Lytechinus pictus: one gene and its partners. The main gene of each other region encodes a partner of the protein of the gene in region 3 in a complex. Links are inferred from orthologs where the notes say so. Each region holds a gene or a part of one and is shown on either strand. Other genes may lie near its edges. The genes, in order: inhibitor of growth protein 3-like, enhancer of polycomb homolog 1-like, ruvB-like 1 and p53 and DNA damage-regulated protein 1-like.

Region 1 (8,700 bases), about 60 Mb from region 3:
TCTAGCTTCATCTTATCCTAATATTATGTGGCATACCGTTAATTCTCAGAAAAATATACCAAAACAAGAGCTAAACTTTCATCATTAACTAACTTCTAAAAATAGCTTGAATGACATGCAGATTCTAGGAGTTATTACATCCAGCTATCCTCAAGCAATTGAGACTGACCTCAGTCTGTGACACTGAGCCTAATATTTTGTTTTCATGAATGCTGCCTTTTGTCATATATAAGGAAGGGAAAAAAAGAAAGAACTAAAGAAGGAAAGGAAGGAAGGAGTAAAGAAGGAACAAAAATAAGAAAGAAAGAAAAGAAAAAAGAAATGAAGGAAAGAAATGAAGCAAGCAATACAGAAAGAAAGAACAAATCCAGAAAGTAGTAAAGGAAAGAAAGAAGCAATAAAAAGGAAAGGGTAAAAGGAGAGATGGAAAGAAGGACAAAAGAAAGAAAGAGAGGAAGGAAGGATTGAAAGACGGAAGAAAGGAATTAAGGAAGAAATAAAGGAAAGGTAAAATGATAGACAGAAGGAAAGAAATAAAGGAAGGGAAGGAAAGAAGCAAGCAATATAAAAAAAGAAAAGATGAAAGGGAGAAAAAAGAAGGACTGAGAGACAAAGAAAGGAAGGAATGAAAGAATAAAGGAGAGAAAGGAAGCCAGCAGTAGAAAAAAAAAGGAAGGTAAAAGGATAGATTTAACAAAGGGAAAAAGGAAAGAACAAGACAGATAGACGAAAGGAAGGAATTAATTTAAGAGAGAGAGGGCTTAAAGAAGGAAGAAATAAAAAAAAAAAAAAAGAAAGGGTAAAAAAATGATGGATGGATGGAAGGAAGAAAGAAAGAAACAAAGAAAGTAACAAAGAATGAAGGAAAGAAAAGGGTAAAAAGAAGGAAGGAAAGAAAGGAAGAAGAGAAGAGATGAATATAGGATGGATGGACTCATGTGGCATCCGGTTCAGGACACTCACACGTATTGCGAGGTTAGTATGCTATACAATTATAACGATGTACTTTGAATTGTAATAATTACTGAGACAATAATATTAATGATATATCAATAATAATCATCATAATAATAATACTTATAATTAAAATAAATATAATTGTAGAAACAATTATAATTATAGTAATTATAATTATAGGCCTTATAATTAATGAGACAATAATAACTATTATTACAATAATACTAATTATTATAAAATAATTATAATGATAACAATTATAATGAAAGTAATTATAATTGTAATAATTACTGAGACAGTAATATTGAAAGGTCATCAATAATTATTATTATAAAAATTATTATGATTATAAAAATAATCATAATTATAATTAAAGGCCTTATAATTATTGAGACAAATAACTATTATTACAATAATAATAATTATAGAATAATTATAATGATAACAATTATAATGAAAATAATTGTACTTGTAATAATTACTGAGACAGTAATATTGATAAGTCATCAATAATTATTATTATAAAAATTATTATAATTATAATTATAATCATAAAAATAATCATAATTATAATTATAGGCCTTATAATTATTGAGACAATAATAATTATTATTTCAATAATAATTATTATTATGAAATAATTATAACAATAATTACTATGATAGTAATTATAATTGTAATAATTATTCAGAAAATAATATTAATGAAACAAAAATAATTATCATAATAATAATTATCATAATTATAATACTTATTGGGACAATAATGAAACGATGATGAGACAATAATAATATCAACAATTTTATTGAGACCATAATAACAAGACAATGAGATAATAGACAATTGAAATCAATCTCTTTTTATTTTTTTCTAGAAATCCTAAGATTATTATTTTAATTCTCTTTCTTTGATTACAAATTATATTCATTGAAAACTTAATTTCTAATGTTCAAGGCAAGCAAAGAAAATCAATATCAAGTCATGTTTACCCTGTGCACAAACCTACCACAGGGCAATTACCCCCGAAATAGGGTTAGGTTAGGTGTAGATTTTTGGATAGGGGTACAGTGTAGTTGTCCGGAGGGGGGGGGGTAATTGTCCAGGGTGGGTGGGGGTGGGGGGAGGGGAATTGTCCGAGGGTGGGGGGTGGGGGGTTATCGTCCAGGGGTAGTTGCCCTTGAACCAAAGAAATCATATGCCAATATGTCAAATCAATCTGAGTACTTTAAGATTTAAATAAAAAGCTTGTACAATTCCCCATAAGCTATGTATTATAAATGTGCCATGCCCAAAACAAAGAGAATAATAAGATTTCGCAATCTTCTTTTGTCCACAAAAAGGCCTGTTTTTTCATCACAAAGATGACAATAACTCGACTTCTAGATATCGGAATTTGAAAATTCAAACAGTTTTGTGAATCGTAGATATTGAGCCTCATTGTGAGCCCATCAAATATGCTGGAACAGCCTTTCCTAATTTTCACCTGAAGTGCCTAGAATTAGCGGTAACTGCGGTCTAAGGTACGATATTTCTTAATTTTATACATTTTTTCGTAAATATGGATGTGATTTCTTTTTCATAATGTGACATTTTATGTACAAAAAAGCGATCGGAAAATCGGGTTTCCGCCGAATGTTAGATCTAACGTTACTGCTAATATTAATAAGTTGTCTGTACGTACGGGCCTCCAACTAGTCCAAGCTTTTCAGTCTATGTAACTATTGGTGAGTGAGCCAACGCAGTTCTGTGGAACAACCAAAATACAGAGACTGAAGCTTTTGGTCTAGCCCCATACTAATTACTACTATACTAGGCCTACTAGACCAAAAGCTTCAGTCTCTGTATTTTGGTTGTTCCGCCAAATACAATTTACAAACCACAATCCACATAATATACATACTAAACTTTCACCACATACCACATTATAAGTTAACTGAAAATCCCTCTATTAATTGGTTCCAATCAACATTTGTCTAGGGTGGACTTGACCTTTACAGCATGCAAAATATTGTGACCGGAAATACTCTGCCATTAATTGTACATTCTCTCAATGGAAAGCTGTGGGCATACGTTCAAAGGATTGACCGAATACGAGCACCCCTTTCTATCCCATAACAGTAGATACGGTAGGATGGGGGGTCGGGTGTCCGGACACTTTATATTTTTGAAGCCTTCTTTTTGTCTTTGGATTACACTAAAAATATGAATTCAATAGTTGTAATCATCTTCTATTTTGTTCTCTATAATATTTCCTAACATTTTGTACTAAAAATTGATGAAACTTCGCTTGTAAATTTTTCCAAATGACTTTCTAAAATTGATCGTCCGGACACACAACAACTGGGTACCGGTACCGCACCGTACGCACACATTTAAAATTCCCGCAAAATGATCTTTCCCATTTATTACCGATATTATAAGCTGTACGTTACTTTTTGTACATCGAAACTTATAGTTAAAGTTAGAAGTGTGAATTATAACAATTTACTCACTCTCAAGGTAATCTTCCAAATACAACATCTTCGAATATTTTCCAGGGAATCACCGAGCGATTGGACTTCGGAGAATACTCAACTTATTACTGTAATATTGGAACGGCAGATGGCGTTTTTGACCATGTTGACGGCCGGTAGGTAGTTGTTATATTCAGTATAAACACTGGGATCAGTGAGGTAATTTAGTTGTTTTCTTAGGAGGGAGTGATAAATTTTGTGAAAATAACTTTGAATCTTTAATTTTAGTTTTCAAATCACAGGAGGGATGGGAGAGGCCTCAAAATAGGTCTATTCATAATTTGCATTTGTTTTTAGGACATGAAGAAAAGTCTTTCTTCTTTGGGTTTCATAGTAGGGACAGTCTATGGGAATGTGTTTGAGTATGTTTGCAGAAGTGTATGTGTTATGTTTGTTGGGGTGAAGGGGAATGATATGTTGGGTGTTATGTTTTCCAGTTCTGGTGTCTGTCTGTATTTATCTCATCTCCAGTTTAGTTTAATAGGTTATTTTGTCATTTTAAATAAATCAAGCTACCAATTTGCAGTAATATTATCATTCATATTTTTGTTCCAAATTTTTTGTCAGAGGTTTAGACTTTTTGTGTTAATTGATGTCGGGTAACTTAAAATTACTTTCGGTCAATGTCAGAGGGTTGAGAGATAGAATCAAAAGGAATAAAATATTTCAGTGGTGTCAGATGATGGGGGATATAATATTTTTGCAGGAAACTTTCAGCACAAAAGACACTGAAGGTGGATGGAAGGCTGATTGGAAGGGGGAAATGTTTTTCAGTCATGGAAGTAACCACAGTAGGGGAGTTATCATAATGTTTAAATCAAAGGTTGATTTTCTCAAAGAAAAAATTATCATTGATAAAGAAGGACGATATGTTATAATTAAAGGAAAGTGTCAAGGTGAAAAGATTATATTGGGCAGTGTATACTTTCCCACATAAAGAAAACTCACAATGTAATTTTCTGTCTGATTTAGACAAAGTTTTATCTTCTGTAGTTGGTCAAGAATATTCTCTTATTGTTGGAGGAGATTTTAATATTGCTATGAATCGAAACTTAGACTACATGGGTGGAAGTAATATTTCGAAGAATAGATATAAAGATTCATTGGTGGATTTTCTTGATAGGCTAAATCTAATTGATGTGTGGCGGAAGCGGCATCCTAACAAAGAAAGAATTTACCTTCAAACAAAATAATCCCTTCGTTCAGAGCAGATTGGATTATATTTTTATCTCCTCGAAATTAGAAAAAGACGTGAAAAGTTCAAACATTTTACCCTCAATCACTCCTGACCATGCTAGTTCAGGTCGAGTTTGATAATTTAGTCGAAAGTTTTGCATATGGGAGATCGTACTGGAAGTTTAACAGCAGTTTATGCTCTGATAAAGATTTTGTAGACGGAGTAAAGATGAAGATTTCTGAAATAGAAAGAATATGGCGGGACCAAATAACAAGCAAGATTAAATTTTGGGAATTTATGAAAATGAAGTTAAGAGAATATATAATGGCATTTTCCCGTGAAAGAGCAAAACTCAGAAAAATTCACATTGAAAAATTACAAAAAGAAATTAAAGATTTAGAATATCGCTTGACGATCACTTTTCATATTGATATCCAAAACGAAATTGAATTTAAAAAAGAGGAACTAGATAAACTTTTCGACTATTCTCGTCAAGGTCTAAAGGTCCGTTCAAGAGCCCAATGGTTTGAGGAAGGACTAAGAAATTCACAGTTCTTTGAACAATTACTTGAATCCAATAAAAGGAGAATTAGTGCGATTAAGAAGATTTATAATAAAAATGAGGAAACGGTGCGAGATTGCAAAGGTATTATACAAATCATTCGGGAGTTTTATAAAAATTTATATGCATGTAAAAATCTTGAAACTAATGATGATATTGAAAACATGTTTTTTAGTGATTTACCCAAATTGAGTAAAGAAAATAGAGAGTTTTGTGAATATCCGATAACACATGAAGAATGTTTTCAGGCTTTAAAGGAAATGAAATGGAATAAATCGCCTGGCAATGATGGTTTTACCGCAGAGTTTTACTTTACATTTTGGCCACTTTTAGGGAAAATCATAGTTGAAGCTTTCAATGAGAGTTTTGAAGTTAAAATGTTGTCAAATTCGCAGAGACAGGGGGTAATTACTCTAATTGAAAAAGAAGGCAAAAATCCTTTGCACATGAAAAACTATAATATAGGCCGATAACTCTTTTGAATGTAGATTATAAAATTTTGTCAAAAGTGTTAGCGACAAGGGTGAAAGAGGTCTTGGGAGATATTATTCATTGTGATCAAGTGGGTTATGTCAAAGATCGTAATATTGGGGAAGCAGTTCGGTTAATTGATGATATGTTTTTTCAGTCTTTGTATCAACCCTTAGGTTTTTTAATTGCAGTGGATTTTGAAAAGGCGTTCGATTGTATCTCTCATAAACTTTTATTCAAAACTTTAGAACATTTCGGGTTTGGGAAAAATCTGTGTTCTTGGGTCAAAACTCTTTATTATAATGTTAGTAGTTGCGTGTTGAACGGGGGGCATTCTACGGGATATTTTGAAGTTAATAGAGGAGTAAGGCAGGGGGATCCACTCTCTCCATATTTATTTATCATAGCGATTGAATTATTAGCTCATTACACTGGCGTAAATCCGTGTTGATGGGTGGGGGGGATGACTGAAATATTTTGGCATTTTTTTTGCAATCATGTTTTTAGATATGCAAGGAATTGCCATTGATATGTCCACAGTGGCGTACCGTGGGTCACGGCATGGGGGGGGGGGCACCAGCAAAAAAATTGAATCACTGAGTGAGTGCGCTAGTGAGCGCGCTCAGTTGCCAGTTATACTGACCTAATAGAGACATTTTTAAGGACAATGTCATTAAACTGATATGTATCTCACTGATCAAATAATGCGAGCGCGAAGCGCGAGCTGAAATTTTTTTATATTCACACCTAAAAAGGGACATTATAATCAAATTTGTGTAAACATGATAGGTACCTGTCTCGCTAAACAATGCGAGCGCGAAGCGCGAGCTGAAAATTTAGATAATTCAGACCTGAAGTGGGGCATTCTAAGGTTTTTTTGTAAGAATTAACTAGGACCATACGTATTCCATTAACCAAATGATGCGAGCGCAAAGCGCGAGCTGAAAATGTTTGATATTCAGATTAGAAGGGACATTTTAAGGACTGATTTTAGGAATTTATGAAAAGCAGACATATCTCACCAATCCACTAATGCGAACGTAATCACGGACAGGAAATGTTTCATATAAACGAAGACCTTAACATTGGGCAATCACTTTTTGAGTCGTGAAAAAGAAGCATATGTCACTACATAAAACAATGATAACTCAAGTGCTAGGAAATATATTTGGTTTATATTGACTTGAAAACGGGATGTTTTAGTACAACAGGATTATATATCACGTTAAACAGACAATGCGAGCACCAGGAACAATGAAGACGTAGGCCCTGGGCAAATTATGTTTCATAAAGTTATGATAAATATGTTTCTTATGTAATGTAACATAACATAATTATAATATAATATAACATTATAATGAATAATATTTTCTTCTTTCCCACTACGTTTCTCTTCCTTTCTCCCTCTTTTTCCTTTTCCCCTTTCCCCGTTTTTTTTTGGGGTCAGCCGATGGGGGGGGGGGGGATGTGCCCCCCATGCCCCCCGTAGTTACGCCACTGTATGTCCATATGGCAAATACCCCTCCAATATTATTATCTTTTTTACCCCATGATGGTTTAATGGTTTTATTAGAGGTTACATTTAAAAAAAATTGACATTCCATCTTAATCCCTTCCCAAAGACCCCAACATTGATGAATTGGAAGAAACGGGGGTTTCTCTTCAATGTTATAATAAGGACATAAGTATTTCGTTTGGAAATGGTGAACTGGCTCTTTATTTGCATTTTATGATTCAATAATATTGTTTTATTTGTTAAGCGGTATTTTAGGAAGAATTTTCACCAATAAAACAATTATCTCTTGTGATTTTTTTTTTATTTATTTCGCAAAAAGTGGGGGGGGGGATGTTTGTACAGGCCATCCCCCCCCCTCCTCGAAAAGTGGGGGGGATATATCCCCCCCATCCCCCCCGGGATTTACGCCAGTGGCTCATTATATTAGGAGAGATGTTAATATTAAAGGGATAGGATTTGGGAAACGGGAAATAAAACAAGTTCTGTATGCAGACGACATTACATTGTTTTTAAAAGATATGAACTCGATCCATAGAGTAAAGAAAATATTCTCAGATTTTGAAAATTTAAGTGGATTGAAGATTAATATGGATAAAACAAACTTTTTATGGTTGGGAGAAGAAAGAGATAGACCTGGTTTACCACTTCTTGGACATTGGTTACAACATATTAAAATCTTAGGGGTATATTTCGCACGGGATTGTAAAGTCAAAGATGACTTGAACTATAAGGAAATCTTGAGTAAAATTAAAAGACTTATTGGTTGGTGGAAGCAGAGAGATCTTACGATGTATGGTAAAATAAAACTTTTGAAAATGTATGCATTTTCAAAATTAAATTATGTTTCTTCCCTGATGACAGTCCCAAAAGACGTTTTTAAGGAAATAGAAAGAATTTCTTTTAATTTTATTTGGGGAGGAAGAGATAGAATAAAACGCAAGGTTTAGTTCTATATCAAGACTATTCTGTTGGAGGACTGAGAGCTCCAAATTTTTTTGAGGTCTTTGTTAAGACCCAACGAATAATGTGGATTAAACGTTTGCTAGATGGAGGGAAAAGTTCGGGTTGGAAAGCAACCTTCGAATATTTTTTTAGCTCTTTAGGTGGTCGAATCATATTTCTGTGTGATTATGATACGAGTAGAATGAATTTAAAAGGTATACCATTATTTTACATAGATATGCTGAAGGCATGGCACGAATTGGATAAGTGAAGACATTTTGGAGGGAAAAGTAATCCCATTATTTTTAATAACAAGCGTCTATGCCTTAATAATAAGACCTTTTTTGATATTGAATTATTTCAGAAAGGTATAGTTAAGGTCTCGGATATAATAGTTGGAGGTAAATTAAGACCAGTTTCATACTGGTATAATCTGAAATTTTCATCTGAAAACTTGCTCAAAATTCAAAAGATATTTTCAGTAATAACAGAAGAGTGAATACAAAATGATTTTATGGAAATGGATACAAACAACTTTGAAATTCAATTGATGATATGTGGG
Region 2 (8,335 bases), about 10 Mb from region 3:
TTCAAGATAAAAAGTAGAGAAAGAAGGCAAAAGGGAAGTCACGAAAGAATTATTGTACTCACGCTGCACATGAATGTACTGTCTGTTTTGTTTGCAGCTTGCATCATACAGATTTTCATACAGTTCCTGGTTGGAGAGAACCTCAGGGGTTGGAATAACCAGATGATTTGCTGAGCCATACACTTGCTGTGCTGAAATAGCCCTTTGCAAATGATGCTCCTGTTGAATTAATCAAATTTTGAAATTAATTTATAAAAAAAAAACCTTAAACTTGATAAAATTCTGATGCAGGACAAAAATTAATCCAAAGCTAGAGCGACTCCTGAAGGAGACACTGGCACTTTCTCTTCATCATTGATGCTACAACTCACACATAGAATTGAATACATGTATGATACCGGTATAAAGCATTTATGATTTGAATGGGTGTCATAGGTTCCCTCTCTTAATGTTTTGTAAAAAACCAAGCCAAACTTCAAGACTATATTTCACATATTTGAATTTCAATGAAATTTTCAGCATTATGAATAATAAATAAATAATACGTAACTTGTATCTAGCACATGTATCCACCATGTTAGGTGCTCAAGGTGCTCCTATATTACCCTGGCTAAGCTGGTATTCTTTTTTTTCGGTGCTCACAACTTTTTGAGGAATTACTGCCTGCAGGTACCCATTTACATGTACCTCACCTGGGTTGAGTCAAGGAGTTTTAAGACAAGGGGAACCATCCAACACTTTCTCTTTATTGCCACTTTGATGCCGCAATGGTAAAAATATGTTACACATGTGTTTCATTGCATATTTCTTGCAGATTGTAGACCAAAGATTCCTAAAGTCAAACTTATAGGTGAATTACAAAAGGAAAAATGCTTTTGTAGTAATTACTCCCGAATTACTCTACGCTGCCTCTGGTGGGATAATATGAGCAGACACATTGCTCACTTTTACAGGGAACAGCAAATATAAAAGTTGCAATATATCTTGAAATATGATTTGAAATTACACGACCTGTTGCATTTGGCCGCAGTTCTGACACATACATGTAGCATCACAAATTAAACTAATAATATTTTTATAGTCTGGACGTTTGTGGGATTTTGTGAAATGTTGATTTTAAAAATGTCAAATTATGAGGTTTTTTATCAGTTTAAATCTTTTTTAAAACTTAAAAAAAACTTAGCTATTGGCAAACTGGGCAAATGACTCTCAATCAATAGAGGGCCTACACAAAAATGCTCAAAATCACATTTTTTGTGCACTCTGAATAAAAAAAAAGATCCCCAAGTTAATAATTCACAACTTAAGGAAAAAAAGAATTTTTGGTCAAAGCGCATAAAATAAACATAACTACATGTAGACCCTACCATCACTTGTTCACTACAACCACCCTGCCTGTGGGAATCTACATGTATAGGCCTACAAGTGGATCTATGCAGTATACAACACACATTAAAAAAAAATCATTAAAATACCACTTTTGTAACCAAATATACTCATTTCCATACATCTGCAATTTAATTTAATTCATATAGCTTAGGGATCATTTTTTCATTCACCAGAGAGCATAAAAACTTGAATTTTGGGCATACTTTTGTGTAGGCCCTCTATTGGTGGAGAGTAAAATTGCAAGAAAACATTTACATTCTTCATTTTTAATATGGAAAAAATAATCAAAAGAATTCAATTTACTTCAAGCCAAGTTATACGATGAATAGTTGTAATGGAAATTGACAGTGTAAAAAATCACAAGAACAAGAGAAAATAAGCCAAACATTGCCAACCTTATTTCTCCACACAGGGGATAAATAGTAACAGAGAACAATGTTATATCATAACCTTGTTCATTGAATGAGTGCCTACCACATTATTGTTATTTATATTATTTGTTATTAATATTATCATTATTGTTATTAAAATATTATCATTGTTATTAATATCATCATCATCAATATTATAAATTACATTATCATTATTAAATTATAATCATTATTATCATAATTATTATCATTATTATTACTATTAATATCATATAATTATTATCATTAGACCCCTATATTTGTTTAATATTGTAAAAAAAAAAATCTGACATGTGAAAATTGGGAAAAGGAGGACACATGTCTAAACATTAAAAAAAAAAAAGTTGCACAAACAAAATAATAAATATCTGTATTCTGTGTATTGGTCATATTCTAAGATTTTGTCAGCCTGTCAATAACATTTCTGCTCTTAATTTGTTCTTATGAACTTCTTTGGTAAATCTACTGTGACTGTGTACATGTAGACTTCTAATTTCAGGGGAAAAAAAGGCCAAGTTGGTTTCATTAAAAAATTCAGAATCAATAATTCAAATTAAGGTCAACTCATCATTTCATGTAAACAAATAAATGTACATTTTAATAGTGAAATCATGTTTACATTCATCGTGCACATGTCAGAGTTTATTGCACAACACAGAAATTTTCCCTCTAAGTCTAACCCTATCTACACATAATGGACTTGTCCACCATTCATCATCCACTTATGAATAATTCATGAGCATGCAGTGGAGAATAAATATCACAAGTGTATCATAACCTTAAAATTTCTTCTTTTTGTACAGCTGAAAAAAAAATCATCATCATTAAACAGCTCATACATGTTTAAATAAAAAATTAATAAAAAATAACTCAATTTGGTTTAAAAATAATACGGTGACCTAATTATTAGCATGTGACGCATGCGGGACCGTCCATTCTCAAAATGGGTGAAGTCAACATTTCACAGAGGAAAAAACTTTCAAAAATCGAATTCTAAATCGAATCAACTTACTTCAGTTCACATATTTCTTAATTTGAATAATGAAAGCATCTAATAAATAACCGTGAATAGATATCTCATTGAAAACAAACCAATAAATGTCGCAAAACAATATGAATTATTCGTCTCGCAAAAAACGTCGGTCCCGCCAAAAAGGGCGTGATTTCAAAATGGCCGCCAGATCCGGGTAACCTCATTATATATGCAAGACCAACGGACTAATTTGCATGAAACAAAAACCTACCGATTCTTCTTCTTTTTCCATTCCTGTGGGCATTTGAGGAACTGCCCGATTGGTAGTGGAAAAATCAGGCAAATCTGGAAGCTCATCTGTTGTGTAGATGGGCATCGGCTTCGCGGGATCGGGAGCCCGAGCTCGAAAACTTAGCTTGCTCATGATGACGGAGTGTCAACGATCCCTTAAAAATGCCAGAATGTGCCTCTATAGGCCAAATAGGCCAAAATCACCGAGCTGAAGTCAGAAATAGTGGTATCATCCGTCCTCTCATTCAGATAGAATCTGGAGAAATGTGCTAAAAATCACAAATGAAGGCAAAATAACGGTAAATTTTCCGCCTTTATACATAACAACATGGCGGACAAAAAATTCGCAACCTTCCCAGAATTCCTCTGGATTGATCACGTCTGCGCGCGCATCTCATAACGTGTTGTGTTCCCACGGCGGAACCCGGGAATTGTGTGTGTGCATTCGGCCTAAACCATTTAAAAACAGCTGATGGCTTCAGTAGTAGTGAACGGTGTACACTTCAGGATTAGACCGCTTGTAAACTTAATAGTGCAATTTGCTTTAACTGAATAAGAGCAAATTTGACTGTTTTTACCAGTCTTTTCGAGACTCTAGCAAAATTTAATGTTATAAGATCAAAGATATTAAGATTATCAACAGCTGAATATTTCCATTTTTAAACAATATTTACAGTTTTTCTGCTCATTCTCCAATTTGCCGAATTTTGGACTGCCTACTTGTTTTTGTTTTTTTTTTGCTTTTGGTGAGAACAAATCATCGAAATATAGGCCCTATAGGCTATTAGTAATATTTTCCTGGTAAACTTTACGGAGTAGGGGAAGGCAGCCTAAAAACCATTTAGCTCAAGTTTAAAACAAAAGTCATGTTATGTTATTATCTTGGCTACTATCATTGGCGGCGGAAGCCAAAAATTTTAGGGGGGACGCAGGAAACAAAATTGACAAGCAAAAAAAAAACAAAAAAAAAAGGTCATCAACAAGAAATTTAGGGGGGATCGTCCCCCCACCTCAAATTTAGGGGGACACGTCCCCCCCCCCCCCCCCCGCTTCCGCCGCCTATGGCTACTATTATGATTGAACCAATAACTCGAAAATGACTTCAGCGATTATTTATAAAAATATCAAGGCCAAGATGAAAACATAAAATATGACAACCAGGCAGGTTGTCTAAAAAAAATCCGGGAGTAGTCATGATTGAGCCCATCACGCTTTTGATAATTGGTCGAGTTGCATATTTTTTTATGATAAGATTTAAAATAAAAACATAAATATTTGTTTTAACAGTTGCGTAAGATATTTAGAGTTGCGTTTGATTGCAAAAAGTTTCTGCAACGGGCCTCTGATCGTCTCAATTTTTTTTTCTGGAGAATCAAATCTAGCCATGCAGCCTACCCCCCCCCCCCCGCCCTGTCCATCGCAAACAAACATAAAGGATAATGATAATTATAAAGGTTATACCAGGATGTGCATGTTTTGTGAAATTTAGCGAAAGATATATGTATAACTTTTTTATTTCACATTCGATTTTGATGAAATTTTCAGTGTTGTGCTTATTGAATTTTTCTCTTTTTATTAAAATAAACTTTTCGTTGGGATGGAGTCCGTCCTTTAACACTATGATCTAGCTCGATAATTTTTTTTCAATTTTAAAGTGAATTGCCTTTGATGGGATATGGCAATATCAATATGTGGAGCGTTGTGGCCCAGTGGATTAGTCTTCTGACTTTGAAACAGAGGGTCGTGGGTTAGAATCCCAGCCATGGCGTAATCGGGGCGTAATTTCCTTCAGCAAGGAATTCGTCCACGTTGTGCTGCACTCAACCGAGGTGAGATGGGTACCTGGCAGAAATTTAATCCATGAAATGCCATCGCGCTGTATAAAGCTGCGGGGCTAAAGCCAGGGGAATAATATCCAAGTCCTTCGGAGGCGCATAGGGACGTTATTACATGTGATATGCGCTAAAAAAAAAATACAAGAACTGCGTTATTATTATTATATCAGTGGAAAAATAATCGTCTTCACTTTTTTTTAATGCCTATATCAATTAATATCTTCATTTCTTTCATTTGCAAGGACTATACCCTTTCCAATAAAATGAGGATAATTGTTGCCATTCGATCATTTTGTGTGTTTGTGGATGTCAATTAAATGATTTTCCATGTGAACTGATTTGCCCTAAATTGAAGTATATGCATGTTCAAAAGGGGTTCAGTATCGTTTGCTTAACAAGTTAAAAAGTGGGGGCGCTCTTCCCATGGCACTGATGTGAAAATCTGAACACTGTCGTCATTCTTACCACCATTTTCTCCTCTCTTCATCTTTATCATCACAAAATAAAGAACACATAACGCACAACAAATATCCACCTCTAATTGTCTTCCTTCTTTTTTCAAACATTTTTTAATAAAAAATTATTTGTACAAAGATACAAAGCAGAAGATACTTATAGAGTAGGAGATGATACAATATTAGATGGGTATATCCCGTAGCCAGTTTTTTTTTTTTTTGGGGGGGGGGTCTGAATTGTAAAAAGTGGACCTTTCTACTTTCAATGATCAGGCCCGAACTCATGTTTAGTTCTGTTACTTCCAGGGACGGATCTAACTTTCGCCAATAGGAGGGAGTGAGGCTAGGGGCGGAAGACAATTTATTATTGTAATCCATCTTTCCCAGATCGGCCGCTAAAAGATAAAGGCTGCTGCAGTTACATTTTTAACTTTATTATTAAGAACAAGATAAGGTGTCTCATAAAGTATAAATAATGTGAACGCAAAGCGCGTGCCAAAATTGGTAATATGACATGATAAGGGAGTCAAGGGACCTGTTTCGGACTTAGTGTTTGCAGAGGCTCACGATCGAGGAGGATACACATCTCACCAACCAATGAGAGCGCGAAGCGAGAGCTGAAAATTATCATTTTCACTGGAAACTTGTCATTCTAAGTACTTTTTGTAACCATGACCAAGATGGCTATCTAAACAATTGATAAGAGCGCGAAGGGCGAGGTTAAATTTTTGATATTCCGACCTAAACTTGGACAGTTAAATGTGCATATCAAATTTTAGGTCGGAATATCAAAAATTTATAATTTGTGGCAGCGCGAAGCGCGAGCTGATTTTTTGCGATTTAGACCTTAAACGGGAGATTCTAAGCATTTTTTTAACAGAATGGATATCTAAAATAACACTATGTGCATGAGCTTTGAAGCGCGAGCAGAAAATTGTTGATAATTATTCCTATCTGTAAATATTGACAATGTAATAACCTTTTATTTTTTTCATAAAGAACAAGATATCCAGTAAAGAATTAATGCGTGAGGTGATTTTTTAGGGACATTCCATTCACTTTTTATAAACATGAAAAGGGTGGGTATATCTTGCTCAATAAATGACACAGGCGCAAAGATGAAACATTTTATATTCCAATCTGAAAGCTGTAAATTAGGACGTTTTTAAATAAAGAACTACTGTTCAAATTATCTCAATGATGGGAGTGTGATATACTGACCCGAAAGGGAACATTTTAAGCACGTTTTAACACGTAGGAACACAATGAAGAAGATATTATTAGTTTGAGAACAATAGACTAACAATGAGCATTAGAATGCTGAATCACGAATGCAATGAGTGTTACTCTCAATGCTAATGCTATGGATAGACACTCATTGGTAATGTGATCAAGGATTTGTGATATTACAAAAGTACAACCAGTGGCGGATCCAGGGGGGGGGGGCACAGCCGGCCCGTGCCCCCCCCCCCCCCCCCCCCCCCCATTGAGAGCCATAATCAAAATTTGTAATGTTAATATACGGTTTTAACTTAATATACCGTTTTCCTTTTGAAAGTGAGGACCTTTTTTTTTTGCTTGCTTGTCAAATTTTCACAAGGAAAATGTGCCCCCCCCCCTTTTGGAAAATTCTGGATCCGCCCCGGCCGGAGTACAACTCACCCCTTTATACATTTAAAATATACCCAAACATTTTTTTTTTTCATTATCTTAATGATAGCAACAATCTTTGCCCACGATACATTTTATGAAACCTTCATTAAAATGTCCTCCCATGAAACAAAACCACCTCGTCTATGGATCTTCTTGGAAAATAAAGATAATTCAAGTAAAATATCTGCAGAAAGCTTTATAGGGGTTGTGTGTGGCAACATGTTGGTTGTATTGCCAATGCGAGAATGTCCACATCGAGTGATCTCTGTAGTCAAATGCTTCTAAATATCATTAATTTTGTCTTTCAAACTTTCATTGATTATTTTGTTCCTTTCAGATCACACAAGCTAACTTGTTCCAAGTGTTTCATTCCCCATTCAATGGTAGCCTATAATATTTGCTTTTTTAGAATAAAAAAAACAGAGAGGCAAGAGGAAGCGAACCCTTTTTTTGGGTAAAAGTAAGAATAAAAATAAAAAAGAGCAACACTGGTGTTTTGGTAGCCCCCACCCCTATGCATGCACATACTTGTTATTTTTAATTTTCTTTTTTTTTGGGGGGGCAAGTATATTTTCGGGGGTCACTTTAGGAAGAAAAATATTGAAATGGAGGTTTGAAAAATTTTCCATAATAATTTGAACAATCCTACAATTTTGGGGGTTACTTTCCTAGCTTTACCTGTATCATATACCTGTATGATTTTGCTGGATTCCATTGCAAAAGCCTGTGAAGGGGGGGGGGGGTAAAACGCCTAAACCATTTCCATTCTTTAAAGGAGAATGAAACTCTTGGAGCAAGTTAGCTTTTGTGAAAGCAGAAAAATCAAAGAATAAGATCAACAAAAGTTTGAGTAAAATAGGACTAGCAATAGAAGAGTTATGAGCATTTGAATGTCGAGATCACTAATGCTATGGAGATCCTCCCATTGGCAATGCGACCAAGATCTATGATGTCACAGATGAACAACTCTCCCCTTTTGGACACTGAAAATATACCCAAAACATCTCTTTTTGCTCGTTCTAATCATATGACAAACGATTCATCAATGATATAATGTTGTGAAACCTCTGTACTTGTCCTCTCATAAAGAGAAAACCTCACCTTGTCATAGACACTATAAAAGTGAGAATATAAGTGAAATAAGTACTAAAGTAATGAGGGAGTTGTACGTGTGTGACATCACAGATCTTGGTCGCATTGCCAATGGGAGGAACTACATGGCATTAGTGATCTCAATATTCAAATGCTCATAACTTTCTTATTATTCATTCAATCTTCCTCAAACTTTCAACAATATTTTTCTTTGATTTTTCTCTTTGATATGGATTC
Region 3 (8,311 bases):
CTCTGCCCGTTAATTAAGCTACCTGGTTGCCCCGACTAGGCCGTCGGGCTATCCTGGGGGGGGGCACTAATTAAAAAGCACTGATAATTTTTTATTGCCCTCAAACATGCATTATTGTGCCTGATATACGCCCCCTAGATATGCATGCAATGGGTCAAGCTATTGTTCTTCTGGTTGCCCTTGTCAATCTCTACATGTTATGCTACCTGTGCTCCGGCCGGCTTGGCCAAAAATTTGGATAGCCCTGGGAACCGGAGCCATTTGATTTAAAAAAAATATGCTCTTATAATATAGACCCTAATTTCATTGATTTGTGTCCCCTAAATGTGCATGCGCCGGATCAAGCTAATGTTTTTCTTGTTGCCCGAGTAGGGCTCTATATACCCATGAGGTTACCTCGATCACCTGGTTGCCCTGGCTATACTGTCGGGATATCCCTCCGGGGCCTTTGAACAATACTAACTGCTTTATATAGCTCTTAACCTGCAATTTTATTGATTTACGCCCCCTAAATGTGCATGCACCATGGTCAAGCTAGTGTTTTTTCAAGTCAAGTTCTACCCGTAATAGGCTATACCCGGTTGCCCCGGCTATAGGCCGTCGGGATCTGTGGAGTGTGGACCCCTTTAAAAATGCATTTTTCCCAACTCACCATGCCTTAATTAGGCTACATTATTTTTTATGCCCTTTCATCATATCGAAAACTTGTATGCAGTGTACCGGACATGTAAAAACATAGCAGACGACGTTTGCAGACCTCGCGATCATCGTATGACTAGTGGTGCGGACAGGGCCGTAGCTAGAGGGGGGGGGGGGGTATGGGGGGTGTGACACCCCCCCCCCCCAACATTCATGGCAGTCGGCAAAATCATGTACCAGTTGGCAAAATGGAGGATAGGGGAGAAAAAGAAAGAGGGAAAGAAAGAAAGAGAAAAAAGAAAGAAGGAGAGAGGGGGAGAGAAAGAAAAAGAAAGAAAGAAAGAGAGAGAGAGAGAGAGAGAGAGAGGAGGAAAGAAAGAAAGAAATAAAGAAAAAAAAGGAAAGAAAAATAGGGGTACTAACTTCGAAGAAGGTTACGACGTTTAGAGTAAAGACAACCAGTTGGCAAATCCAAGTCCATGTAGTCAGGCTTAGAGCCCTATAGTCAGAAAAATACAAAGGACAAAACAGATGGAGCTATAATAACACACAAAGTAAGCCCCGGTCCTCCCCCAATATAAACAAGCTTGTGAGTTTGCAAATTATACCACAATTATTGACGATTTAACAAACACATTAGTTTTGTAAAATCAGAGGCAAGACTAGGTAAATAAATATGGGGTAGGATGAATTTCCAAGGTTTAAGTTGAATAATCAAAGCCAAAGTATAGTTGGCAAATTATAAAGTGGGCCTATTAAAGTGGCAGAACACTACACGCTCTACCAGTCAGCAAAGTGATGTACAAGTACTGCCCCGTTTCAGATCTGAAAAGAACAGAACACAAGACTTAAAAAACTGGTAACTCTTCAGTTGGCAAATTCATGAAGACAGGTCTACAACTTGTAGACTTGTCTACAAGTTTGCAGTTGGCAAAAACACAAAAATATTCTAAGTTATTTTTACTAAATTCTGTCGCCGAAGATTTTTTATTTATTTATGGTGTCAGAATGTGCTTGGGGTGGGGATGGGTGGGAGAGGGGGCAGGTTGGGGTTGCATCATTCCTGGTGCTCGCATTGTCTGACTAATGAGATATATAGTCCTGTTGTATTTTAAGTCCATGAAGATTATGCACCAAATTATCCCCTCGCACTTCAAGTTATTATTGTTTTATGTAGTGACATATGCTTTTTTCATGACTATATACTTAAAGTGATTGCCCCCTTTTAAGGCCTTAATAAAACATTTCCAGTCTCTGCTTACGTTCGCATTGGTGTGGACCGATATAGATACCGGGCTGGTGTTAAATCAACACCGGCGTTTTTGCAGTGCACGAATTCCTAAAGACAGTCCTTAAAATGTCCCTTTTTCTGATCTAATTACAACAAATTTTCAGCTCGCGCTTCGCGCTCGCACCCCTTAATTTGTGAAATAGTAAATTCCTACAAACAAGCCATAGAATGCCCCTCTTCAGGTCTAAATTTTAAACATTGTCAGCTCGCGCTTCTCGCCCGCAACATTTCATTATTTAGTGAAATACGTATCATGTTCATGATTACAATTATGACCACAAAAAGTGCTTCATGTACCAGAGTAATTTTAACAGAATCAGCAAGCGCTTGGCGCTCGCATTAGATGACTATGATGAGATACGTACGCACTTCATAAATTCCAAAAGATAGTCCTTAAAATGTCCCTTTTTAGGGTTAAGTTATACAAAAAAATTCAGCTCGCGCTTCGCGCTCGCATTGTTTGTTTTGTGAGACAGGTACGTATCATGATTACAAAACTTTGCTTATAATGTCCCTTTTTAGGACTGAATACATTTTCAGCTCGCGCTTCGCGCTCGCATTATTTGATCACTTAGATACATATCCGTTTAATGGCACAGTCCTTAAAATGTCTCTATTAGGTCAGTAAACATGGTAATTGAGCGCGCTTCGCGCGCCCACTTAATGACTCAAAAATTTTGCTGGTGCCCCCCCCCCCCCCCCATGCCGTGACCCAGGGTACGCCACTGTTAGCAGTAGCGCTCTTGAAATTTTAGTTGAGACATCTTGCACAGAAGGTCAATTAAAAATTAACAAATCTTTGATTTTGATATTATTAATGCATATAGGGTATATCATTATACTGCAAGTTAGCAACTACGGCACACTATAGCCTTTCTATTTTGATCCAAAATGTTTATTTTTATCTTTGTATAATTTACCTTAAAGTATTCACCAAATGCCACTAATTCAATTCTAAAAATTCAAAATCTTTTAGCATGTGATTATTGTAGGGGGGCACATCCCCCATCAGACTCCCCCTGTGCTCACGTTGGCGCTGTCACGCCAAATTTAGTTGGCAAATTTAGCTGGTACACCCCCCCCCAACAAAATGCTTCTGGCTACGGCCCTGGGTGCGGAATGTTCCATTGCGGCTTTAATTATGGGGGAAATAGCATCACGGAGGGATAAAATGTATACACAGATAATGTTTCAGCGTTGATTCGCAATATTTTGAGTCAATTTTAATGAATTATCGTTGTTTGAACATTTAAACATCATTATAAAATGAAAGAAATAAGCAAAACTTAATTTTCAGACTTAGCTATGCAGTGGTAAGCTAGGATGCACCCCTCGTATACATAATGGACCCGTCACGAGTGTAGGTTTGCTCTTCGGACATCACTATCACAAAGAAAATCTCCTCTGATTTGATGATAAAAGTGCCCTATTTCCTCATCTGATAGAAGAAGTTGTTACCATTCATTTCAGGGGGGCGGAAATTCTATCTGAATCAACGCTTGTCCTTGATACACATTTGTTTGTGAAAAAAGGGTATAATGCAAGGGAATTCTGCGTGTTATAAGGGTGCGCGCGTGCAGCGAGGACCTTCTGTCCGCTAGTTTTCCATATGTAATTGATTGCGCCCCCAAAATGTACATGCATCGGGTCGGGTCATGTCCGTGTTTTCCTGGTGTTCCGAGTCAATTTCTATTTTTAGCTTAGTTGTTTGCCCCGACTAGGCCGTCAGGCTATCCCTCGGGGCCCCAACCCCCCCCCCCCCCTAAAAAAATGAAATCAATAGAATTTAAAAAAAAATAAGCACATTAGATCTATGCCCTTTTAATGTTCTTGGGCGGTATTCTGAGGTAATTTTATCTTTAAAATATTTTATTTTATCTCTTAAAATGAAATTGGTATTCTGAGATGACATTTTATCTCTCAGATAAAATTTTGAATTTTATCTTGCATATAAATTTTATCTTGCGTATCTACAGATGATACGCAACAGAGGAGTGCCTGCGTAGACATACCCATCGCGTATCTGGCCATGCAACGCGGATGATGTGCTTGCGCCCATGTTACTTTGAAGAAAAAATAAAATAAACTTAAAAGAGGGTAGGGGCTGTTTTATCTCTGCGACGTTGCTTTTATCATTATTTCTTGGTGAATTAACTACAAATGTTGACATGAAAATTAAGAAAAATTATATATTTATTGAGAATAATACCTTAATGTTATTCCTGTACAATCAGGAAGTATTTCATAAAACTTTTCTTGACTAATATTGTCTTTGAAATGATGCTTGAAAAGATGTGATATAGACTTCGAAAAAAGATGAGAGTATTGTCATTTTTTTTAAAGAAATCTCTGTAAAGACGCGCAAGCGTATTTTGCAAGCGTATTTGAAGTCAATAAATTGACGCAATATCACTCCTTTGCCACACCTCCTGGCGGAATGGATTTTCATTGGTTGAGTGATATGAGAGAGCTATAAAAGCGCATTTTTAATTGGATATTGATTAAAAAATAGGTGTGTCTTACAGAGATAAAATGAAGATAAAATTGTTCTCAGAATACTAATTCGGAGAGATTTTAAGGGTATTTTATCTCACTGATTTTAACGGAGATAAAATATTTTATTTTATCTGAGATAAAATGGATCTCAGAATACCACCCCTTGTTTTTAAAGCTTTTTAGCCTTTATTCAGATCATAATATTACATACAGCAATATAACAAAGGAAAATAATAAACATCGTGATAAAAATTTTCAAACAAAAATTATCTTAACCCAAAGCAGTTAATTGAGCTGCACCCATAGAGATGTATACTACTACTAGTATACATCTCTATGGCTGCACCACAGCTGCTGGTGTTGCTGCCCTCTTCGTTCGTTACTCAGACAATTCACTGAGACCCCATGCGTTGATGTTGATGTTAGATACAACTTGCCGGGACAATTTGGTTAAGATCCACAGCAAATCTATCGTTTAAGCCCGGATTCTAAGAAAATAAATCAAATCAAGTTATAGACTCAAGTTGTAGGAGCAACTATGAAGATCGAGGAGGTAAAAAGTACAACGAAGACTCAAAGAATAGCGAGTCATACTCACGTGAAGGGCCTTGGACTTGATGACTCTGGAAATGCATCATCAAAAACAACTGCAGGTCTGATTGGTCAAGAAATGGCCAGAGAGGTTGGTAGATCGAAACATTAGATCGAAATAACGTTAGGCTAGCCAGGAGGCTCCTAGAGAGTAAAAATCATTTACTAATATATGCTTACCCTCCACGGAGCCAGGGATTCCTTCCCATTCATGTACGCGTGCCACCAAAAAACCAGAAACTTTCGCCCCAAGATTTCTACTTTCTAAATTTTCTAGCCATAAATCATGTATGTAGAGAGTACGGCCTACGGGATACAACTTCATTACCGACATTTCTACGCTATCGATTTCATTTTTAAACAAGAATTCATTAAGAAAACAAGAAAAGTATTGTGTAAAGACAGGGGAAACTTGCCGAGATGTTTACGCCGCCATCTTGTTTCTCGTTGTTTCTCTTCGCCAACGTTACCTTTAGGCCTATACCTTTATAGGCTAGGCCTATACCTTTATACCGCATCTACTGGAAAAATACAGTTGTTCCTGCAGCTGCAGTCAAGTTTCCAGGTCTATCTCGTTGTCTTCCTAGCTTGGATAAGTTCGAAAACTGAGTCTGTGCTATTTGTGCAATGTGCTGTGCCAATTAATGTATTGGAATGAAATAGGCACTATTCCCATGCGTGAACATAATGCCACGCAGACCAGAACTTGTCTAACTTTGTCTTGAAGCCATTGATTGTTGATGCTGTGATTACCTCAGTAGGCAAAGAGTTCCAGTCATTAACCACTCTAACACTGAAGGGGTTTTGTCTCACTGCCAGTCTACGCATGCATGCGTCTGTAACGTTGGCGAAGAACAATGCCAATGCATCCGTTACGTTGGCGAAGAACAATGTCTGAGAAACAAGATGGCGGCGTAATGCGTCCAAAATTTTGTCCGCTGACTTTAAAAATAAAAGTGGAATATTATAGGGAATAGGGGTCTAAAGACTAAGTAGTGCACTCACACTAACGTTAGTACAGTGCGAGGTCATATACTTATCTCGCACCAAGAACCGTGTTTGGCAGTGGATTTCTTACTGGCTGGTCACAACACACGACTTCTAAAGTTCTAGCCTTGATTTTTCTGTGAGTTGCGGCATGTAATGAACCCTTGAGTGGTCTAAGTGTTAACCACTTTTAAGTTACATGTAGTAACATCACATGTACATCTTTGGTTTTGCAAGATTAACTTAAATTTGTTGTCTTGATTTCAATTGCTCTTAGTAGATATGAAGGGTTTATTCATGTTTAGATGATACAAAGTTTATAAGTCTTTTTCTTTTGAGTCACATAAATAAAACTGTCAGTGTCACAAAAAAGAATCATCAATCATTTGTACATGTTTCAATGAAAGTGATTTGAAAAACAATAGTGATTTAAATCGCAATTTAAATCAACGTGATCTAAATCGGCCTACCCTGTAATAAGAAGCAAGACATAGTCCAGCGGGTCGTGTGGTCTAGTGGTTAGAGCATTGGACTCATAATCGCAAGGTTGTGACATGTGCACAACAACAAGGTTGTGAGTTTGAATCCTCACTCTGCTATTGTCTCCACTTTGATAAAAAGGCCCAAGAGTAATATCTGTCGTCTATAGGGTCAGCCACTATGACTGAATAACCTAGACGTAAAATGTTTCCTAGGTAATTGGTTATATACCAGCTTGGCGTTTACCAGCAAAAATTATGTTTGTACTAAAGTCTGTTTTACTTTTAATTTATCTTGCTCAATAACTTAAAGGAGAATGAAACCCTTGAAACCAGCTGAATCCATATCAAAGAGAAAAATGAAAGAAACATATTGTTGAAAGTTTGAGGAAGATTGAATGAATAATAAGAAAGTTATGAGCATTTGAATATTGAGATCACTAATGCCATGTAGACCCTCCCATTGGCAATGCGACCAAGATCTGTGATGTCACACACGTACAACTCCCTCATTACTTTCGTACTTATTTCACTTATATTCTCACTTTTATAGAGTCTATTAGAAGGTGAGGTGTTCTCTTTATGAGAGGACAAGTAAAGAGGTTTCACAACATTATATCATTGATGAATCGTTTGTCATATGATTAGAATGAGCAAAAAGAGATGTTTTGGGGTATATTTTCAGCGTCCAAAAGGGGAGAGTTGTTCATCTGTGACATCATAGATCTTGGTTGCATTGCCAATGGGAGGATCTCCATAGCATTAGTGACCTCGACATTCAAATGCTCATAACTCTTCTATTGCTAGTCCTATTTTACTCAAACTTTTGTTGATCTTATTCTTTGATTTTTCTGCTTTCACAAAAGCTAACTTGCTCCAAGAGTTTCATTCTCCTTTAAGTGATGGAATTGGCAAGTAAAGAGGAAAGAGGGCTTAGAAAATCAGAAATTTCCCTGGAACTATTTTAGTCACTCTATAAGAAAAGAATGGTTCACAAATTGACACACTCATCTGACACACTCATCTTAATAGACTGCATTCTAAGTCTCCACCTTTGCACAGGGTCTACATTTTGCATATTGATATTAACTTGTTTTTTTACAGGCTGCTGGTGTAGTTGTAGAGTTGATACGCTCCAAGAAGATGGCTGGCCGAGCCATCCTGCTAGCAGGGCCTCCTGGGACAGGAAAGACGGCTCTAGCCCTTGCCATCGCCCAGGAGCTTGGCAACAAGGTACCCTTCTGCCCCATGGTTGGAAGCGAGGTCTTCTCATCAGAGATTAAAAAGACAGAGGTGCTGATGGAGAACTTCAGAAGGGCAATAGGTAAATAGATAAATCCCAAATGTGACAAATTTGTTGTTTAGATTTTTGGTTTTCTCTATTGGGATCAACTTTGGGAACGGAAATAGAACTAATAATAATAATAATAATAGGCTTTTATAAAGCGCCATCTATCTAGAAATATTCTATTCCGAGGCGCATTGTTATTATTATTATAACTAGCAAGATGTAGGGGAGACCGGGGTTAGTTGGAACATGGGGTAAGTTGAAACATTGTAATTTTCTTTAACGTCTTTAAATAAATTTCTGCAATACTGCCCTCAAGTTATTGTCATTATCAACGGCCATCCACCATATTACAGGCAACACATGTGCAACAAGCCTGGTGAAGTTAGAAACAAATTTTTGTTTTTTGACCTTCTGAGTAAATTTTTTCTCGTTCAGAAATGTTTGATTATCTCAGAGAAGTTTACAGATCAAGTTGGCCAGTTTAGGGGTATAATAGACACTTATACCAAGCTACAAAATGAGGTTATTAATATGCCA
Region 4 (8,153 bases), on a different chromosome or scaffold from region 3:
CATTGATCTCTTCGTCCAGCTTCTTCTGATCTGTAAGGTGTTGTATATACACAAACAAAATGGGAACATTTAGATTGAAGTTGACAGACAGAATGTCCTGTAACAGCTCTTGGTGCAATAAAAGCAAATCTCTATACTTCTTCAAAGCCTGATCACAAAAGAAATGTGAATATGTGGGAATGGAATGGTCTGACAGAACTTCAAATTCACTATGCTTAGTGCAATGAGAAATGTTTACTTGCTGAAATCAAGCACAGATGCTCAGCAATACAACCTAATAACATCATTATGATCCCTAGCAGATCCATTCATTAGAGTGATGTACGAGTCATATCTGATAGTCAACTGACTAACTGTATTCAAAGTACAAAGAGGACGGTCCTCAATTCTGTCCTCACTTTGCCTGGATTTCATAATAGCCTACATGTAATCCTGAATATTCAGATACTTCACGCAAGGAGAATCTGCATTTTGCCCTATTTTTTAATGTGTCTGACGGCTGTGAAAACGGCAAAATGCCCTAAATAATGCCTCAACAAAAAAAAGGAAGAAAATAATTGAATATTTTGTTTGAAGGGGTAGCATGATGAACATTGATGCAGTCATTCAGGATCAATATGTTCAAAGAAGTAAACAGTTTTCAGGCAACTCACCATCGGTCAGCATCGTCTTGACATTCTTGGCTGGAAATTTGATGAAAGTGTTCCCGAAGCTGACCCATGTTTTGACTTCTACATGAAGAAATAAAAGGGACATAAGTAAATCAGTCAGGTGTAACCAGTGTTATTCGCATAAGGGCTAGAGGAGCCGATCTTAGAATTATCAAGATTGTGTGCAGATTCAATAATATGAAAAAGAAATAAGTATTTACAGACAGATGTAATAATGCTAAAAATGCAACAATTCTACACATATGTTATGTAGGAGCCCTCAGTCAGACAACTATGCATAAAATTTTCCAAAAAAATATGATATTTTGCATAAAGAAAATGTTCACTTTGAAAAAAAAAAGCAAAATTTATATCTTGTGTACATGTACTATTCTCCACTGGATGGCACATGCTAACAACTAACTTTCATATTCCGTATTCACTTGCTTTTTATTATTGACTGAACTCTCATGTAATGCCCAACAATTCTTCTTTTTTTTTTCAAAGTCCAGAGAAGGTACTTGAAATATAAGGTTTACATCAATGGTTTGATTCACATTAATATCCATTGCTTACCCCCCCCCCCCCCCAACAAAAATGCTTACATGTAAACAGTTGTTCAACATTTGGACTTACCTTTAATTAAAACCAAAATGTGAAAATCCTTTAAGACCATAGAATGTTCAAAATGTAAGCATTTAATACTCAATACTTGTTATGGAAATTTATGAAATAATTTACATTTAATGTAGGGAACTCTAAATGAAACACAATTATTCACAATTAATGCTTCAGCTTTTTTATTCTGTAAAAATTTCTCTGGAGTTGGAAATTTCATTATTTACATACCCTTTTTACTCTTCTGAGATTCTGTCTGGTTTTTGAGTGCTCGAACTGCTTCTCTGCTTTGGTTTCTCTTTCGATCAAGATCTACAATCTAAGTAAAAACAAAATGGACACAAGCAATGTGAACAAGTAGGCCTATTTATTGCTATACCAGGAGCCTGAATCATCAAAATGCTATTGATCTAGGTCTATCTATTCACTGCCATTGGGTTTAGGGTTAGGTTTTGGGTGGGGTATAGTGTTAAACCCAGGGTTTAACATCATGCCCCCTCTATATGCATGTCGTAGCTTAGCTACTAATGAAGAGGACAAGATGGCGACGTAAACATCGGTAAGTTACAATACATCTGATATTCTCATAATAAATTTTCAGTTTTTTTTTATGTATGGTAAGGTCCCCTAAGTCTGTGCACACAGGTATCTGCAAGATTCTAGTAAAAGATATGCGACAACATGATCATCCCTCCGAAAAAAATTGTAATCAAATGTCCATTGTCTCTATAAAATCAAAAGCTACATATCATACATGTATAACAAATTGTTGAAACAATAGAATACATAAGGAATTGGTGAAACAATCAAATACATCAGAAAATAGCACACTTGTATTTTTATTTGGTCATACAAAGTCCAAAAGGAATGATAATTTTCATATGTAAAAAAAGACCCCCGTACATACATGTATACAATACTAAAGTTGAAAAAGAGCTTGTAATTTATATCAGAAAAACAACGAAATACATTAGAAATTACAAAAACAATACTTTAAACAAATTCATTTAGGAAATTATCTACATGAAGCTGTTTTGATGCCAACTAATTTTGATATAAATTATCTATCATAATCACCTTCATTTTGCAAAAAAAAGAGGCGAGTGATTGTTATTTTGCGTAATTAATTAAAATTATAAAAAATTATTTCACACAAATTACGAAGGAAAATTACAAAGAGACATGATTACAGTTACACATCAATTGAGCTTTCTTTCAATTCACCTTTCCATGGATACCTAAATTACTTCAAAGGGCTCAAAAACAAAGAAGTTAGACTTAGAGCCTGTTGAAGACTTGGGTTCAAAATGGTCACAAAATTAGTTTTGTATTCCATTGACTTTACATTAAGACAACGACTACAAATTTGGGCGAATATTTTGCTTATCTTATTCACAAGTCACACGTACCGTAACCCTCTATTAGTATTACGTTAGGAGCCTCCTGGCAAAGCCGCACTGCCACTTGCCATGTCAATGACCGAGCAAATTTGTCAACAGTGCATCCTTAAAAAACTAGTTTAAAACAAACATACCTGCTGTTTTTCGGTGAGAATTTCTTCTGCAAGTGCCTCTAATTCACCAAGATGCGTTAAGACGAAGTTCGTATCTCTGGATCTGGACATTTTGCATGAAACGGTTGACTTGGTCTTGGCCTAGCTGATTTCGCCGAGGCGACATCTCTCACACACTACTATACTACCGCATGCGGCGCGCTGCAGCTAGCTAGCTGCATTTATTCATACCGTATATGGCTTCAATGGAAGAATCACGTTTTGCTTCCTTTTTTCTACTTTGTTTCAAAGATTTATTAATATAATTTTTCATTAGGCCTATTTCTATTTTGTTTACTTTTTGCTGGGCCCACTTACAAGTTTTCAAATTCGACTATTCCAATTCACGTGTGATCCCGCATAATCCAAAACTCAGCCCCTTCAAATTGATGTCTCTGGAGAATTTTGTGAACATTTTTTTAGCCCCGAAATGGAGGGGGTTCCCCTAGCTAGCTCCCCGGCCCACTGTAGTGTGTATTTGCCGATGACAAGGTCTAATTGTAACACAAACTTTGACAGAGAGAAAAAAAAGATGAAAGCCTCGCTAGCTGATCCCCTTTGCAAAATGTCCATTTTGCACGGGTTTATGCTTGATTGATTGATTGATTTTATTCGTCAAGAATATCACAGGAGATTACAATGAAATTGAGGAAATACCTTGACACTGATAGCCCATGAAAGCCGAAAGGCTTATTTCCAATGGGGTCCTATAGTTAGTATAAAACATTAACATATTGTAACAAAAAATATAAACTACGACAAGTACTGGAATATTGGGGGGAAAAAATAAAATACATACAAACATATCCATCAGTCATATAATTTGAAAACATCTGAAGCAAACAATAATCTTCCTAATATGTGAAACAAGATTATATTTCAACACACCCTAATGTACTAGTATACATTATCTATACTAGAAACCAACTGTACAAAATGTGTTATTTTACTGGTAATGCTGTTCTCGGGCAGTTTCCAGTTTTAGGTGATTTTTTAATGCACTCTTAAATTGACAAAAGAATTTAACGGCTTTTATGTTATCAGGAAGAGCATTCCAAGATTGGATGCCATTAAAATAAAAAGTGTTTACAATATGTCCTTCACGTTTTGGTAATACGAAATTAAAATTACTATTTCGAGTATCGTATACCTATGGATATTTGATACCCAGGTGAAATTATTTGCTATATAATGATCTAATTTATCCGAATAGAATATTTTATGCACGTGGTGTAATACTAATTGTTGTGACCTGTGATCTACATGAAGCAATCCTGCCTTTTCAAGTTCATTATATCCGACATGTGCTCTTGGTCCTAAAACATTTATATATCTCACAATTTTATTTTGAATTATTCTTAGCTTTTTCTTATCCGTAACACCCAGACTACCGTACCAAGCCGCATTAGCATAGTCGAATAAACATTGTATTAACGCAAAGCATAAAATACGTCTAGACTTCATATTCAAACAGGTTTGATATCTATATATACAAAAATTTCAAGCGTGAATTAGCCATTTTGGCGATTGAGTCTACCAGACCCGTCCATGATAGGTTACTTGTTAAATTAATTCCCAAATATCTTACTGAATCTTTTCTTTCAATTACCTGATTATTATATGAAACCTTGAAATCGTGTGTATATCTTAACTTTCGTTTAGAACAAAATAAAATGCTTTCCGTTTTCCCAACGTGTAAACTAAGCTTGTTGTCAGACATCCATTCGATGCAATTAGCCAAATCAGCACTAAGTTTTTTATCAATTATCTTGGGATTTGTATCCGAATATAGCAAGACGCTATCATCAGCATATAAAATTAATTTAGATTCGTTAATACAAGTACACATATCATTGATGTAATACATAAAAAGAATGGGGCCTAAAATGCTTCCTTGAGGGACTCCGCATTTAATAGGCAGTGAATCAGAAAGAACCGTCTGCATGGTAACTACCTGATGACGGTTAGATAAATATGATCTAAACCATGTCACACATGCAGAGTCTAAACCCATCACTTCTAATTTCTTTAAAAGTATGCTATGATTCACAGTATCAAAGGCTTTTTGTAAGTCTAGGAGAACCATTCCAACCATGCGCCCATGTGAAATTTCATTCCTGATAAAATCTGTTAAATGTATTAAACAAGTTTCAGTGGAATATCCGTTACGAAAGCCGGACTGAAATTTATATATTAGGTTGGTTTCTTGGAAGTATTTCTCCACTTGAGCATGAACAGATTTTTCCAAAATCTTCGACACTAGGGCCTACACTTAATACACTTATTGGCCTATAATTACTAACGTCAGTTTTATCTTTCTTTTTATGTAGCGGGGTAACTTTTGCGAATTTCATATCATCAGGAAAGGTAGAAGACATAAGAGATAAATTAATAACATAATTCAAAGGTTTGTACAAATTTCTTGCCCCATCTTTTAAAAATCTTGCAGGTATCATATCTAAACCAGTACTTTTTGATATTTTCAACCTATTTAGTTCATCATTTTTGTAAGCTACATTTCTCTCTTTAATTAAAACAATAATTTCATGGTTCATCCATTTTTCAGTTGATTGCTTAATTCTTACCTCTTTCAGAGGTGCGCTCATATCTATAATTGACAAGAATATAGATTTAAAATTTGCCCAAGCCATATTTACATCTTTACATTCAGTTACCTTGGACCAGTCTGATCGGGATAAATTTAAGTTGAAATCATCTACATTATAACCTTTTAAGCTCCTGATGGACACAGTTCTGTGGTGCCCAAATACGGGCCTGACAATCTTTCTTGAACAATAAATCAATAAATGATCACTTATACCTAGGTCAATAACACCACTTTGACTAATATGCTCTTCTTTACTACATAATATGTGATCTATCAGGGAGGAAGATGTCTGAGTTGTACGTGTGGGCAGCTTTACAAGTTGGCTTAAACCACTTAGATTAAGTAAATTCTCATATTTCTGGGATAAAGGAGACTTTTTCGAAAGGCAAATATTCATGTCCCCCAACACTATAATCTCATCATCTTTTTTAAATTTTTCTAAAGTGTCAGAGAGTGATTCAATTAAATTATTATCTTTAGGGGGTCTGTAAAGAGCACCAAGTGTAATGGGCTTTGTCCGAGGCAATAGAATATTGATCCACAATGATTCAATATTTCTTGGAGTCAAGTCTTCTCTTATATTAAATGCAATGTCATTTCTTATGTAGAGAAGCCTATATACCTTTTCGATTGAGACCATCTCACCCCCCCCCCCCAAAAAAAAAAACCCATTAATTCCCAAATTTGTACTCATTAATCATCAAGCCCTAGAGGTGCTTGACTCAGAGAATTTAGAAAGCCTTCATTTTTCAGACCAAGTTTCAATATCACTATATATGTTCCCAAAATGCTAATGATGAGTACAGTAACCCGGGAGAGTATGAAATATGTTTCGAGCAAAATTTCTGAGAGTAAGCCTTATCATGTAAAAGAAAGAAAGAAAGGGGTATATTGCTGGGGGGGGGGGGCGGCATTCCTTGGGAGCAGGCCGGGCACGTACGGCACCACCCCTTAGGCCTATTGTGTAAGCTCGAGAGTGCCCCTTAAAATTTTTACCCAAGAAAATATCCAGTCTACTTTTTCATCTTGGGAACTTTGCCTACGACTTTGAGATGTTCATTCTCGTTACCCTTCTCAAAGCCACTCTGCCATGCCCCGATCAGCAACCATTTTCCTTTGATCCTTCTGCAAGCGCATGTTTAATCACTTTCAAAAGTATTGCCCGGCCCTTTATTTCAGTTGATCATAGTGAATTATCTAGTCTGCAGAGACTCCAACCCCAAACACCTTCCGATCTGGAGATTCTCCCGCCTGGAGACTCTAATTTGATGTTTTTTGCGCACATCACGAGCGCGAAGTCCCTTGCGGCGGGGTCCTGCATGGGCCCACTCAAAGGGTTCTAAATGCTCTCTTATGCTATATCAGGCTATTTATTTAATATGATGGCATCAGTAGCGTAATGAGCTAAAAATTTCGAAGGGGCTAGATATGGCATATCGCGTAAAATTGATAAACAGTTGCGAGCGAGCGAAAATTTTGATGTTTTATTTCAGAAATCCAATTTTGTTATAGATTTCGACACATTAAAAAATGATAATATCACATTTCACCCTCATGACTTTTTTGCCCCCCACCCATCTGTACGACTTAGGAGGGTACCAAGTAATTAACAATTGAATGAATCAAATCATACATTTTGGCTTGATAAAACTTAATAAAACTTTTATGCATGCATATAAAATTGATAAGCATCTACAAAATCATACGTTTTTGTGATACGGTACCTTTATCCGTATCAACCAGTGAAGACATACTACCTCACGGCCTTAAAGTTGACATTTCCATCCATCTTGTCTCAATGACTTGATGATCTCTGGAGTAAGATTGCTCCAAACGCCATAGCGATGGGCGAGATCGCGCGCAGCGTTGACGCTCTACTTTAGTCTTAACTTGAATATCGGCTTGGATATGAAAGTTTAATTCCGGTTTTCAAAAAGGTGTTTGGGCGGGAGAAAGATCATTTAAGGCGGGAGAAAATACATCCTATGCGGGAGACACAGGGCCTGGGCGGGAGATATAAAATCTCAATCGGGAGAACGGGAGATTTTGCGAAAAAGGGCTTTCGGCGGGAGATCTCCCGCCGAAAGCGGGAGTGTTGGAGTCTCTGAGTCTGCAGTATACGTGCCCCTTTGATTAAGAGCCCCATTTGTGTCCTTAATTTACTAGATAAAAGCCCTTTTCTTTTCCAGTTTGTTTTTGTTCACCTTGAATTTTCATTATGTAAGGTCATTGCAATCAGCACCCTTTCCTTTCTACAGGGGCAGTGGAATGGGGGGGGGGGGGGAATTGCCCCCCTAAGGAAAAAAATGTGCTGTTTATTTTTTCTTTCAAAACTAAACGGTGCCCTTAGTGAAGTATAACACTTTCTTTTAATCTGCACATTTTTGTCACTGAAGTTGACTCTTTTTTGTTGTGCAAAATATTTTGTTCTTTGTTCATCAATTCCCTTTTTTCTCACTCCTGAAGGGGCACATAGACAAATCCTATTTGACAAATATTTCATCCCTCCTTTATCAAAGAAACATTCTGTCGTAGTCAATGTTCTTCTCCCTTATGAGGGTTAGGAACATCCAATAATATAGGGAGTTATAATTATTTTAAAGCCAAGATTCTCCTTCGGTCAGGAGAAAAGACAAGTCCACCCCAACAAAAAGTTGATTTGGATAAAAGGTGAAAAATCCAACAAGCCCATTCTCTTAATTGCCAGTGAAACAATTTTTTGTTG

The links.
Region 1: ruvB-like 1 (region 3) and inhibitor of growth protein 3-like share a complex: the UniProt entries of both Homo sapiens proteins name them as parts of the SWR1-like complex. The link is inferred for Lytechinus pictus from reciprocal best matches to the Homo sapiens genes RUVBL1 and ING3.
Region 2: ruvB-like 1 (region 3) and enhancer of polycomb homolog 1-like share a complex: the UniProt entries of both Homo sapiens proteins name them as parts of the nuA4-related complex. The link is inferred for Lytechinus pictus from reciprocal best matches to the Homo sapiens genes RUVBL1 and EPC1.
Region 4: ruvB-like 1 (region 3) and p53 and DNA damage-regulated protein 1-like share a complex: the UniProt entries of both Homo sapiens proteins name them as parts of the PAQosome complex. The link is inferred for Lytechinus pictus from reciprocal best matches to the Homo sapiens genes RUVBL1 and PDRG1.

Annotation. Positions count from the first base shown.
Region 1 is NC_087247.1:64,845,895-64,854,594, reverse strand, and holds the start of inhibitor of growth protein 3-like, read right to left. Parts: upstream 3,546-8,700; 5' UTR 3,478-3,545; coding exon 3,450-3,477; intron 1-3,449. UniProt on the Homo sapiens protein: Component of the NuA4 histone acetyltransferase (HAT) complex which is involved in transcriptional activation of select genes principally by acetylation of nucleosomal histones H4 and H2A.
Region 2 is NC_087247.1:14,834,598-14,842,932, reverse strand, and holds the start of enhancer of polycomb homolog 1-like, read right to left. Parts: upstream 3,503-8,335; 5' UTR 3,197-3,502; coding exon 3,044-3,196; intron 220-3,043; coding exon 63-219; intron 1-62. UniProt on the Homo sapiens protein: Component of the NuA4 histone acetyltransferase (HAT) complex, a multiprotein complex involved in transcriptional activation of select genes principally by acetylation of nucleosomal histones H4 and H2A.
Region 3 is NC_087247.1:4,838,585-4,846,895, reverse strand, and holds the start of ruvB-like 1, read left to right. Parts: upstream 1-4,804; 5' UTR 4,805-4,964; coding exon 4,965-5,108; intron 5,109-7,587; coding exon 7,588-7,807; intron 7,808-8,311. UniProt on the Homo sapiens protein: Possesses single-stranded DNA-stimulated ATPase and ATP-dependent DNA helicase (3' to 5') activity; hexamerization is thought to be critical for ATP hydrolysis and adjacent subunits in the ring-like structure contribute to the ATPase activity.
Region 4 is NC_087246.1:64,627,506-64,635,658, forward strand, and holds the start of p53 and DNA damage-regulated protein 1-like, read right to left. Parts: upstream 3,290-8,153; 5' UTR 2,893-3,289; coding exon 2,803-2,892; intron 1,588-2,802; coding exon 1,500-1,587; intron 732-1,499; coding exon 654-731; intron 31-653; coding exon 1-30. UniProt on the Homo sapiens protein: May play a role in chaperone-mediated protein folding.